2 linked regions of the Tribolium castaneum genome follow. The protein of the gene in region 2 purifies or fractionates together with the protein of the main gene of each other region. This does not show direct contact. Links are inferred from orthologs where the notes say so. Each region holds a gene or a part of one and is shown on either strand. Other genes may lie near its edges.

What was found. Proteins that work in one complex are often made in the same cells at the same time.
Region 1: the proteins of tsu (region 2) and Upf2 purify together in Homo sapiens (co-immunoprecipitation; 6 studies listed by BioGRID and IntAct, with this or other methods). This does not show direct contact. The link is inferred for Tribolium castaneum from reciprocal best matches to the Homo sapiens genes RBM8A and UPF2.

Annotation. Positions count from the first base shown.
Region 1 is NC_087394.1:28,286,545-28,292,417, reverse strand, and holds the end of Upf2 (regulator of nonsense transcripts 2), read right to left. Parts: intron 5,397-5,873; coding exon 4,547-5,396; intron 4,186-4,546; coding exon 3,987-4,185; intron 3,943-3,986; coding exon 3,825-3,942; intron 3,776-3,824; coding exon 3,548-3,775; intron 3,502-3,547; coding exon 3,328-3,501; intron 3,281-3,327; coding exon 2,715-3,280; 3' UTR 2,530-2,714; downstream 1-2,529. Other genes in the region: uncharacterized protein LOC103312536, read left to right, coding at 462-578; transcription initiation protein SPT3 homolog, read right to left, coding at 630-1,523; icln (methylosome subunit pICln), read left to right, coding at 1,762-1,880, 1,933-2,075, 2,125-2,468. UniProt on the Homo sapiens protein: Involved in nonsense-mediated decay (NMD) of mRNAs containing premature stop codons by associating with the nuclear exon junction complex (EJC).
Region 2 is NC_087399.1:11,506,340-11,513,025, forward strand, and holds tsu (RNA-binding protein 8A), read left to right. Parts: upstream 1-3,522; 5' UTR 3,523-3,637; coding exon 3,638-3,698; intron 3,699-3,748; coding exon 3,749-3,892; intron 3,893-3,946; coding exon 3,947-4,208; intron 4,209-4,261; coding exon 4,262-4,289; 3' UTR 4,290-4,418; downstream 4,419-6,686.

The DNA of each region.
Region 1 (5,873 bases), on a different chromosome or scaffold from region 2:
TAATCAAAAAACGAATAGAAGACGATCAACGCTTTATTTTTAATTTTACTAAAAATAAATAATAATAATGATGTAAGCTCTAGAATATTTATGATGGGAAGTTGGGAACCTGATAATGTCTCCCTATTTAAACATTTTTTAAATTACGTACAAAAAAGTACAAATGACGATAAAACACACCAAAGTTAAGTAATTTAAATTATATGTTAAAATAAATGCCTTACACAATTTAACCATAGGCAAAAACATCTGATAAACATTAAAGAATTTTGAAGAAAGTATTAAAATTTATTTATTTTAAAAATACATAAACACATTAAAATATTGCACGGTTAGCAGTGACTTTAGCTCTAAGATTAGTTTCGAAAAAGCACAATTAATAAAAACATTAGCACAACAATCCAAATTATAAAAAATAAGTGAGAGGCTAACTTGACTGACCCCAATACCTTTGTTTTCAGAGTTTGGCGAGAGAAATTATAACATCGGTTGCTTCAATATCATCTTGCATAATCTCTATTTTTTTCGTAAAAAATTTGTCGAGAATGGATTCGCTGCACATAAATTTTGCAGCGTAATATTTGGATAAATAAAAGACCGTTTAAAAAATTAAACTTTATTAGAACAAATTACAGAGCAAATAGATAATGCGTGTCTGGTAGTTTTCCCCCGAAATTCAGCTTCCCTGCTTGCGGACAGTGAATTCTTCTCATAACTTCTTTAATTTCATTGACACTAATGGGGGGCTGTCCACTGTAAACCCTGCTATAGTCTGGATTGTTACCACTAGCCCCTATCCTATAATCCCCATTAAACATCGTAGAAGTGTAGTAATTGCCGTATAAATGATTCAGTGGATCACTCCCACATTTGCCCTCCATCCTCACAAGCAACGCATAATCGGTTATCTCAGCAACTGTCTGGTACCCCAAATACGACAAAACCACCATAGCATTAGTGCTGAAATTAATTTCCTTTTTCGGGTCAATCCACTGTCTTAATTTTTCGGAGTTTCGGGCCGTGATATCTCTACTGCAAAACGAGGTGGCTCTCGCTTTGCAAAACTCCAAATACCTCTTCTCGTCCAGGGCTTGAGATATGCGATCAGCCCTCAGCATCCTCGACTGTTTGACTTCATCAACTTCGGATAAATCGGTGAATTCTCCCGTCTCGTCTATGTACTCGATAAACTTCATTAGCTCGTTCTTCGGTATGGGATCTCTGTCAATTTCAATGACCCCCGAGTTCAACGACTGGAGTTGCTGTTTGAGTTGCTTGTTTTTCAAATATTGGAAAAAGCGGCGCATTTTGTGCTTATTGTGCCGCATTAGGAACACCAACTCCTTGCCTTTGAGGTTCTTACCATCGGAGTACTTCAGCGCTTCCTGGACGATCATGCGGAGCTGCTTCAACACGATGCTCTCCACCAAACGCACCGTCTCGGGGTTCGGCTTGTGGCTGTCGCCGAACCCAAACATCATCAGCGAGATTTCGTTACAAAAGGTTGTTTTTTGGGAATCCATCAGTTTTTGTCAACAAACACCTAACCTCAATTGACAACAAATATTTTCCCCACAGAATAACAGGTTTTTTTCCCCAATCAAACACAGCCGGTTCAAAATACCAGCCCGTGATTGGTCCTTAGCTCACAACGCCGCCAAAAGAAAATAAAAATCCCCAAGTTAAACGTCAAGCGCCATAGTTTGTGGTTACAATAATTTTGAAAAATAAACACGTTTTGCGAAAAAAAGTGGAGGAAGAATGGTTGTGGTCACGTCGTTTAAACCACCAGAATCTCCTATAAGACTCGAGCAGTCAAACGTTGTGGTGATTTTGGATAAACGTGATCTGGGCACCGGAACCCTATTTGTGAGCGAAAGGTAACACAATTATGGCAAAACCAAACGAAAAATACATTGTGTTAAATTACAGGACACTCAGTTGGCAAAAAGACGGGACTACGGGTTTTTCAATTGAATATTACAACGTCTCGCTCCATGCGGTGTCCAAAGACCCCAACGTGTGCGAGAGGGAGTGTATTTATATTTTGACTGACCCCCACATAAATTTGTTTGGTTTGTAATTTTTTGCGCAAAATTTGGTTTATTGTGCGTCGTTTTGTAGGAGAAACTGACCAAAGGCCCGCAAATGATGACAGTGACGTTGAGTCAGAGCCAGACCTCTCGGAGCTGATTTTAGCCCCCGAAAACCCCACACATGTACAAAGTATTTACGAGGCTATAAAAATTTGCCAAGAACTCAATCCCGATCCTGCCGATGTTGACGACGAGGACGATGATAATTTATTCGCGGACGCAGAAGAAGAAATGTTTATAGAAGCAGAGTCTGAGCAGATTGGGGACGCAGTTGTCGACAGTTTGGCCGAAAGGCTACAAAACAACTCAGTCGACGTCCAGTACAGCTACCGGAATGGCAACGAGGATGAGGATTTTGAAGATGCAGACTGATCCCTGAATTATGTTAGGTTTTGTATCTTTAATTTTAATCCATTTTTTATAAAACACTGACTAGTGAAAAGGTTTTATTCCAACAGAAAACAATGTTGAACGAAACAAAAAATGAAATTCCTTGCTTCTCCTTCACAATTCTCAATTCCGATAGACTAAAAACGAAACAATCTATCTATTTCTGAAACATTCTGAACTTCTTTGACCCTTAATCGTATTCAACCATTTCATCCTGAATTCCTCCCATTATCTAACTCTCTTAGGTCCAAAAATCAGGTCGGCGTCGGGCGCCCCCTTGGGGTGCTGGTATTTCTTGCGTTCGCGGTTCAAGTTTTGGGTCACGGGCCTGTTCTGCTGCTGCATCATGTCTTGATAATCCTCCTCTTCAAACCGTTCCGTGATGTTCAGCGTCAAGCGCTTCACTCGTTCCTTCTCCTCCTTCTGAGCCAACTCCTGGTCCCTCAGATTCTGAGCGAGTTCGGAGTTGATATCAGCCTCGAAATTTTTATATTGCTGCTTGTTTCCTTTGCGGACCATTAGCACGAACCCGATTTTGTTGGGTTCCGTTTCAGGGGCGTCCTGCAACTGCTCGTAGGTCTTTTTGTTCGATTTGAGGACAACCGGAACGGAAATGTCCACGTTTCCGGCCTTCACCGGCTCGCGCATCCGCTCTTGGATGTTCTCCGAAACCATTTTATCCAAAGCGTTTAAAAAGTCCTCGTCCTCGGGGCACTCGACCTTGCGGGGGCCACTGGGAATTGCCAGCGATTCGGACACTTGTTCTTGCTCAGCTTCGCTAACATCGGGTTCCCCTAAAAAATAATTAAAAAAATTGGAAGATTTTAAAAGTGAGACGGACCTTCATCGTCCGAGCCTTGTGTGTGGTCCACCGTTTCGTCCTCAGTGGCGGTATCATCAGTAATAGGTGCCGTGACTTCGGACACTTCGTCCTGTTCTTCAGTGTCGGTTTCAGCGATCGTTTCCAGGCCGTCTTCCTCAACTTTATTTTCGTTCAAATCTCCAGTGATTTTATCTAATTGACTTAGTTTTATTTCGGGATTTTTTAAAACAAAGCTTACCAAAGCCCAAAGTGACGCGAATATTATTTAACTCGGTTTGTGTTTCTTCGTAGCTTTGACACAATTTAATTTTTGGTCTCAGGGTCGTGAGAGTGTCTTTAAAAATGTGCTCCAGTGTTGGAGGAAATGCATCTTTCCACAAGTCGCGCTTGAACCAATAATACGATTGCAGAAATATTAAATAATAGTCTAGTCTCCTCTTACTGCTACCGCTGCTGAAATACGTGCCTACAAGTTGAAATTGGCCTAAAACAGTAATTAAAAAATAATAAATTACCGCATGTTTCAAGTAAAACACAAGCCAGTCTTATTCGGAAAAGGTGATTTGGTGGATCGAGTGGCGACGGTATGTTTGGATCCATTGAAACTCCAAATGTTATCAAAGAATACAAAACCTGAGTAAAAGGTTTTATTGTTATTTATAAAAAATTAAACAAACCTTGAAAATGTCAGCGCTTTCAACCATTCTGTAGTTATACAGCTCCCCAAGATATTTTACTTGAGCTACACGTCTCTGGTTATATTTGGGAAGATTTACTTCCATACCTAACCGAATGTCTTCTAAAACACTGTCCACTACACGAGTGCCAACCTCTTCCTGGTAGGTCACCAAGCCCGCAAGCAAATTTGCGAGACACCTAAAAGATAGATTTTTCTTCTTGAATTTTGTAGTTCATAATTTTGGCTCCTATTATTATTAAAGGTCAAGCACTTATAAAAAAACAGCTTATGCAAAATTAGTTAAAAAATTGACTATTATTATTCGTACAATTTCTTCCTGGTAGATAGATCATTAGGCCCGGAAACAAAAGAATTATTTTTCTTCAGCTTTATTTAACTGTTTTGTAGTTCACCTTAATCACGTCTCAGTTATTAAAAGATCAGAAAAAATAGACAAAAAGGAGTCCGTATCATGAAATAAATTAAATATCCGTTGCATAAAAAAATATTAACGCTCCAAAAAAATCAGTTGGAAAAATCGTGGAACACACGTCTTACCTGATATTGAAATACTTCACGTTGTGGGCGCTGCTTAGACACTTTATTGCATAAGCGGACACGTCCTCGTTGCCCCAGTCCAGCTTCCTAATCAGCCTCATAATCTTATCAGTGTTATTCTTCTGCAAGTCTTGAAAGAGCAATTTCCGGATAAACTGGTGCATTATCGGCCTCTCCTTCTTCGTGATTGTTACTTCGGGCGGATTGACGTAATAATAGGCGTTTTCAATTTGCGTCACATATCTCGAATCCAACGCCATAACGGCCTTTTTCCTCATCATTTGCTCCAAATACACCCTCGTCCTTTGATGCGAGTCGGGACTGCAGTACAAAAACCGGCCGCAAACTTCCAACAGATTGCAGGCCATTTCGATGTGATGGTGCGAGAAATCGTACAGCAGAACTTTGAGACAATAGAGAGCTTCTATTTTTGAATAGAGCTTGAATTTGACGAGTTCGCCGATAAATCGTACGACTTTTATTTTGGATTCGATGTTAATTTGGTCTTTCTTGCGTACGTGGTATTTGAAGTCTTGCCGCAGCATTTGGCACAGTTCGTTGCCCACTTCGGGAAGGGCTGGACGGAGGATGGCCACGAAGCGGGCGTAGAACGGGAGGAGGTCGAGACGGGTGCGGTTTACCCCGAACAGGGCACGGACCAGCTTCTTGCGGTTGTGTTTGTTGTTGAGGGTTACGAGGAAATCGATGGCTGCGTTGTCGATCATTTCGCGGTTCACGCAGTTGGGCAAGTTGTTGAAAAATGCCTCGAGGAGGATTTTATTGCTGGCGTTGGTTGTGGCAGAGTCTTCGGGCTCATCTTCCGCTGCCACGGGCGCCTCCTCGGCTTTTTCTAACAAGGCAAATAGTTTTCTGTTGCATTTTTTAATTTTTTATATAAAAAAACAATAATGGCATACAAAATCTTAGTCATTTCAATGCAAGACGTCTTAAATTAAATAATGATATCGATATATCCGACCAAATAATCGTTTGATCTTAAAACCATTTTATTAGATTTATTAGAGCTCTAGGATGCAAAAAAAGGCAAACTCGGTAGAGGCCTCGGAAAAGCACATAGAACGTAGAGTCATGTGGCTAAAGTTTTTCAATTAATTAAATATGTAAAGATTGCGAATCAATAATTTTGGGTCACAAAAACTTACTACATTATAATTTATAAGTATTCGAGACGTAAAATGATGTCTTAAGACAATGAGATCGGCTACTGGCAAGTGATCCCTTTGTTGGCAAATTATACCATCTTCTAATAAATCACGCGTCTGGTTTGTGTTTAAATAAAAAATTGCCGATTGTTTAACCAATAAAG
Region 2 (6,686 bases):
AGAAAAAAAAAGCGACCGGTTTCTGAAATTTTTACAAAAATTGCCCATGTCCGAGTTATGAGTTTTATTCCAGTTAAAAATTCCACATTCTTTAAGGATGTAAACACACAATTTGGCCAGTTTTTTTAGACATTTTCTCAGTTTTTTTGTAAACAAAAAACCACCTTCTGATTTAATTTCAACAGAATTTTACACAGGAATTTCTTTTGAGGTATGCAAATTTTATACAAAAAGACAAGAAATAAAAACGGTGAAAATGAAACTGAAGAGTTAAACATGTAGGAAAGTGGGAATTTTTTTCGTTTTACGTTGCCATCCAAAGAACCATCAAATAACTAGTGGATGTTAGTGGCTTATACCAACCTGACATCACTTTGACTGTTGTTGAAAAGAAGAACTTTCATGAAGTTTAGAAATTTATTGTTGCATAATGTTTAATAATTTATTTACCCGGCGCATCCACCATATCTAACTTACTCTGTTCGAACATTTAATTTTTAGTTTTAGTGTCATTAAAGCTTACCAAAATCATTTTGTGTACATTTATTTACATTTCAATGCTATACAAAATAATAAAAAACGTTAAAACAAGTCAAACAATTTTATTTCTTTCAGCACCTGACTCGCATAATTGGTAAGTTAAACGTGTTGGGTTACTACTTCTTTGCTTGCAAAAATTAGCCATTTTTATCAAACTGTCATTACTTAACGTTTCTAAGTCTATCAACAAAAGCTCAATTCCGAAGTCTTCATAAAAAAACTCGTCTAAAATATCATGAATTTGAATAGACGCCACACTAATTTTTTTAAATTTGTGATTTATCTAAAAGTAATCTAAATAAGTCATGTAATTGATTTCCAAACAGACCGAGATCATTTATGTAAAATGGGACTTTATTCGAGGCTTCATCATCAATGCTGACAATGTTGTTTTCCGAAAAATCAATGAAGGTATTGTTTTTTTTTGTTCTCTAAAAGATAAACAGTTCTTTTCTAGTTTTGAAATATTATTGCCTGAAATTAGAAAATTAAATAAGGTTGGTAACCGAACAAATGCAAGAGGATTTAGATGAGTTATGTAATTTTGATTCAAATCAAGCATTTTTAAATTGAATAAGTCCACAAAAGCCTCAAAAAAATAAAAAAAATTGAAGAACATAGAAGACTGTTTGTAAAAGAATTTTGCGTAGAGCCTAAAAAATTATTATTGTAAAGAAATAATTATTCTAAAGAATAATTTATAAAAAACTATTGGTGTCAAGACGCAGTGGTGTGGTGTTTGTATGTGTAGTTGTTACTAAGTCACTGGCATTTCCATCTTTCAATGTCGCTTTTAAGTATTTAAATGAGTTAAAAGCCTGATGAAGTTTATTATAAAATCGAAACGTTGCAACTTGTCGTTTTATTTACAACCATTTAAGGAAGCTGTCCTAATGTCATTAAATTTTATTCCAATAAGAAACAAAAAAATATAAAATAAATAGAATATAAAATAATCTCACTGTAAAATAGTCTAAGAAAAGACTGGATTATAGATCTGCAGACAGCTTTTTAACAAAATTTGAGAAAAAAAATAAATTTTAGACAAAAGAGAAATCTAGAAAAGAATAAGAGTACAAAAAGAATGCAAAAATTAATAAAAAGAAATTCTAATTGAAACTGTGGAAGGGGACAGAGACTGGAAACTGAAGGAGAATTTGGAAAATCTAAAAGAACAGTCTACAAAATATTTATGAATAAAAATCTAGAGACTCAAGACAAAAGAATAATTTAGAAAAATTCTAAACGAAGCTATAGAAGGAATTTGAGAAAACGTACAAGCCACAAGCTAATTTGGAGAATGTATAAGAAATACTTTAAAAAGATTTTGAATAAGTTACAAAATAATTGTGAAAAACATCAAGGGAAGAATTTAGAAATGAATCATAAAGTGGATTTATAATATAATTAAAAGAAGAAACCGGATTTTAAAACTATTAGAGACGGCTTTATAAAAAAATTGAGAAAAAAAAATTGAAACAATAGAAAAGAATTGGTACAAAAAACATACTAAATATTGATAAAAAAACTTTAATTTTAACTTAAATGAAATTGTAGAAAAGGGTCAGAGGATGGAATAAAAGAAGAATTTGGATAATGTAGAAGTAGTGTTTATAAAGAACTTTTAATGCAGTATAGAAAATAATTCTAAATAAAAATCTAGACATGAATCTAAAGAATAATTTAAAGAATAATAATTTAAAAAAAATGTAAAGATGGGGTTATAAAAAAATAATCCAAAGAAGAGACTGGATTTTAAATCTAGAGACGACTAAAATAATTTGAAAAACATTTTTAGAAATATTTTGAAAAAAGAGCAATCTAGAAAAGAATTGGTACAAAAGAATACTAAAAAAATAATAAAAAAATACTAAATAAAACTGTAGAAAGGGACAGAAAGTGGAATCTAAAGGAGAATTTAGAAAATGTAGAAAGCGTTTATAAAAGAATTTTGATGAACAAAGCATTTCTAAATCAAAGTCCATACGATGAATTTATAAAATAAGTTTATTTCCTATTTCATATTTACAGATGGTTTAGAACAATGAGAGAAGAATGTTAAAAAAATAGTGACACAAAATCAAAGCATAATTTTGGAAGATCTAAACGAAGGATTTTGAAAAGTCGCAGAGTAAAATCAAAAATAAAATTTTTAGGATGTATTAAAAAAGTGATTTCAAAGAATTTTGAATTCAGTCTATTAGCTGTTTTTTAAACTACAAAAACGCCAACGTCACATTTTGTCTCAAAATTAGCTGTTAATGCTGTTATGAATTTTTGATGCACCTAAAAAAAAATAATGAAAGTTATAACAAGCGAATTTTTAAAATTTTGATCTAGGTATCCTTGACAGTTACCTCAACAGTGAAATATATTACGTAAATAACTTCAGCATCGCTTTATCTGTCAATATATCTAAAATATTCACCGAAGAACATAAAAAATTATGCTGGATTCTTATTTCCCTAAAGGACATTGGGTTAACTTAACTGTTGTGGATTACTAGATCAAAATTTTAAAACATCGCATGGTACTTTCAATGAAAGATCTAAACATTAATAACTGTTTTACAATTTCATCAACCTTGGCGTTTGTATAGTCTTGAAACAGCTAATATAAATACAAAGAATATTAAAAAAACATTTGGAAATGAAGTAAGAAACGCCACGTTAGCGTTTATATAGTTTTGAAACAGCTAAATAGAAATGTATTATGAAACATTTTCGGGATCTAAATATGGTTTTAGAAAAGAATATGACAAGAATGTTAAGAAAAGTCTAGGGACGAGTACTGAATCCATGCTGAGGAATAAATAATTTGAAAGAATGTTAAACGAAATTATAGAATTTTGAAAAGACGCAAGGGAAATGTTGTGTGTTATTATTATTAGATGTTATTAGTGTTTTGTGCAATAAAAATAAATGTATTTTTTATTTTATTTATTTTATTCCGTGTTTTTAAATCTGGAGAATTATGGTGTTACAAGTGGCACGGTTGGCAACGCTACCGCGACTTCAAACGTCAAAGAAGCATCCCAAATTTATGCTAAAAATCGGTCTTTTTTAATAAAAAAAACGTGTGTAGTGTCGTTGTTACAATGGCAGATGTTTTGGACATCAACGATTCCGTCGAATTGGACGTGGAAGACGAAGGAGACCGTAGGCAAGCCGTAACATAACCTCTCCTTTTCCTAACCTCACATTTCCAGAGAGCGTTTTGCGCCTGAAAGATAAAGTTGTAAAGCGGAAAGGTCGCGGCTTTGGGCCTGGAGAGACCAAGGAACATGAGAAAATTCGAGGATATGAAAGCATAGATTCCGGGGATCACGGAGACGAGCCTGGGCCACAGAAATGTAATTTGCATTTTAAACAGTTTTAGTGTTGTAAACAGTTATTTTGCGTTCTAGCTGTGGAGGGGTGGATTTTGTTTGTGACTTCGGTGCATGAAGAGGCCAGTGAGGATGATTTGAGTGAGAAGTTTTCCGAGTTTGGGGCTATCAAAAATATAAGTATCAACTTGGATCGTCGGACGGGTTTTTTGAAGGGATATGCTTTGATTGAATATGGGACGTACGAGGAAGCGTTTGCGGCCAGGGAGGCTTTGAATGGGTCTTTGTTGTTAGGGCAAACAGTTGGAGTTGACTGGTGTTTTGTTAAGGGGCCCAAAAAGTAAGTTTCTTGGTTTTGAATGGTTAAATCTTAGTGATTTGATTTCTTTTCAGGTCAAAGAAACGTGCAAGGAGACACTGATTGTAACTGTAAATTATTTATAACTCAATTTTCCACTTATATCCATTAATTTCTTAAGATTACAAAAGTAAGGTTCTTTGGTGTATTTTATTTATGACATTCAAGAAGTAATAAATTGTGAGTTTTTTACGTGTGAAGTGTATTTTTTCTATAGTTTGGGACAAGCAAGTATTCTCAAAAGACTTGGTAAAAAGTACAATGTGATCATTTAAAGTTATGGTTACAATAGATTTTAAAATTGTTTTAACTTGGATTAAAACGGTGATTATCAATTATCACCATTAATCCAACTCAAGTTTAAATAAGGATCGGTATCAGAAACATATAAAAATAAACAGTCATTTATTGTAAAAAAAACACTAATAACTGTGCTAATAACAAAAAACAATGTGTACTCTGTTTCTGTGAATTGTAGAATTGTCAATGTCACAATCAATAGTGGAGTAGTTGTTTCAATACTATAAAAACATCAACGTTGCATTTTCCCTTAAAATTAGCTGTTATAACTTATTCGTGGACTTAAAAAAAATAACAGCTAATGTAATTTATATTTTCAATGAGATCTAAGTATTAATAACTATTTTATAATTTCATTAAAAAAAATAATTTGGTAAAATGCGACGTTGGCGTTTTTATAGTTTTGAATCAGCTAGACCCACATTACACTTGGAAGTGCACGCAAAAGAAAGGAAACTGATATTCATAATTTCTAGTATTCTGTATTGATCAGTGGTCTCCTAAATTTTTCAGTAACAGTATTTCTGGACATCTCCGTAGTCTCCTTTACTGTCTTTTGCAACACCATATTTTGAAAATAATTGTGACCAAAGTTACACTTCCCTTGCAAGGTTCGCTTTAATTCAGTTAATTTTCGATTCCACGGTATTATAATTATGTAATATGTTGTAGATTCATGTTTAAATTCTTTTCTAAATTTTTCTTGAAAATTATGTTGTATTAGCTGTTTCAAGTTTAAAAACGGCAACGTCTCATTTTTTCTCAAAATTAGCTGTTATAAATTATTCATGCCCTTCAAAAAATAACGGCTAATATAATTTACACATTTTCAATTAAAGGTTAGTCAGTCATTAATAACTATTTTAAAATTGTATCAATCTTGTTTAAAAAAAAATTTAGTAAAATGCGACGATGGCGTTTTTAATCAGGAACAAAAAGACGTTTGAAAAATATAAGTAGAGTCATGAAAATGACAGAACGTCCACGGTGGTGGGAGTGCGCAGAGATGAAAACTTGTCGCGGATGAGTCCATGGAGCAATGGTGTGGTGTGTATTTTCGTGTATCAAGAATTCATCGTAATTTTTAACGATTCAATATCATTAATGGTAAAGGTAACATAAGAAATCTTTTTTGTACGTTTTTACTCATTCACATTGTGTTTTTGTTATTTATTGGACATCTCTGCTTTATGTTTATATGAAATTAACAACTAACGTGTAGGAATCAGATGTGTGATGTCTTATTATCTCATATTGCTATTATTAAATACAGGAAATAATAAATAATAAAAAGTTTAAAACTCAAACCCCTTTTTCCTATAGGATAGTTTTTTGATACGCCACTGCTCATTCTCCCCACTCGACCAAGTACGCATTGGCTCCGCCTAGCGTAGACGTTCTTTTTGTAAAAAAGTGCCTGAAAAATGTCCTTAAAAACGTCTACTTTTGATTCACTTTCATAAAAACCATTGTAGTGGAATTAACTAACCTGTTACCACGACAACTCATATAAAACTTAATGCTAAGAGTACCCAATTTCCATCATAATGATTTTTATGAAAGTGAACCGAATGTAGTTCTTCTAGTTTTCATTTGAAAAATTAAAAACAAAATTTACAAGTTTGTGGTTTTTCTGAATAATTCAGAAACTAAAAATGACGCATAAAATTTTCCTTCCGATAATTGTTCAGCATAAAAATGCGCAACCGACCACGTATCTCTTATAATAATTGAGATACCCTGGTGGAGTTTGAAAAATAGACAGCCTGTATGTACAAAATTTGACATTCTACAAAGTAGACTGGTAATTCTCAAAATGGATTTTCTCCAGTAGGTGCTTATAGTATTCTTATAATTATAATAATTATTGTTTATTTGGTCTGATGATTCATGTAAAAGAATACTTTAAATAATGTTTTTCTACATATGCACAGGGTGATATAGTCTGGTCTTTAACAAAATTGTGACACTGACAGTTGATTATATAAAAAAAAAATTAACTATATTTAACTATTCTTTACTTGATCAATGAAATTTGAATTCATCGAAATCACCATATCAGGTTGCAATTGGCTAACATTGAGCCGCGTTGATAGGCGTGCACGCAGAGAAAATTAGGAATTAAAAATTCAAAACTAAAATTATAGAACAATTGGAGCA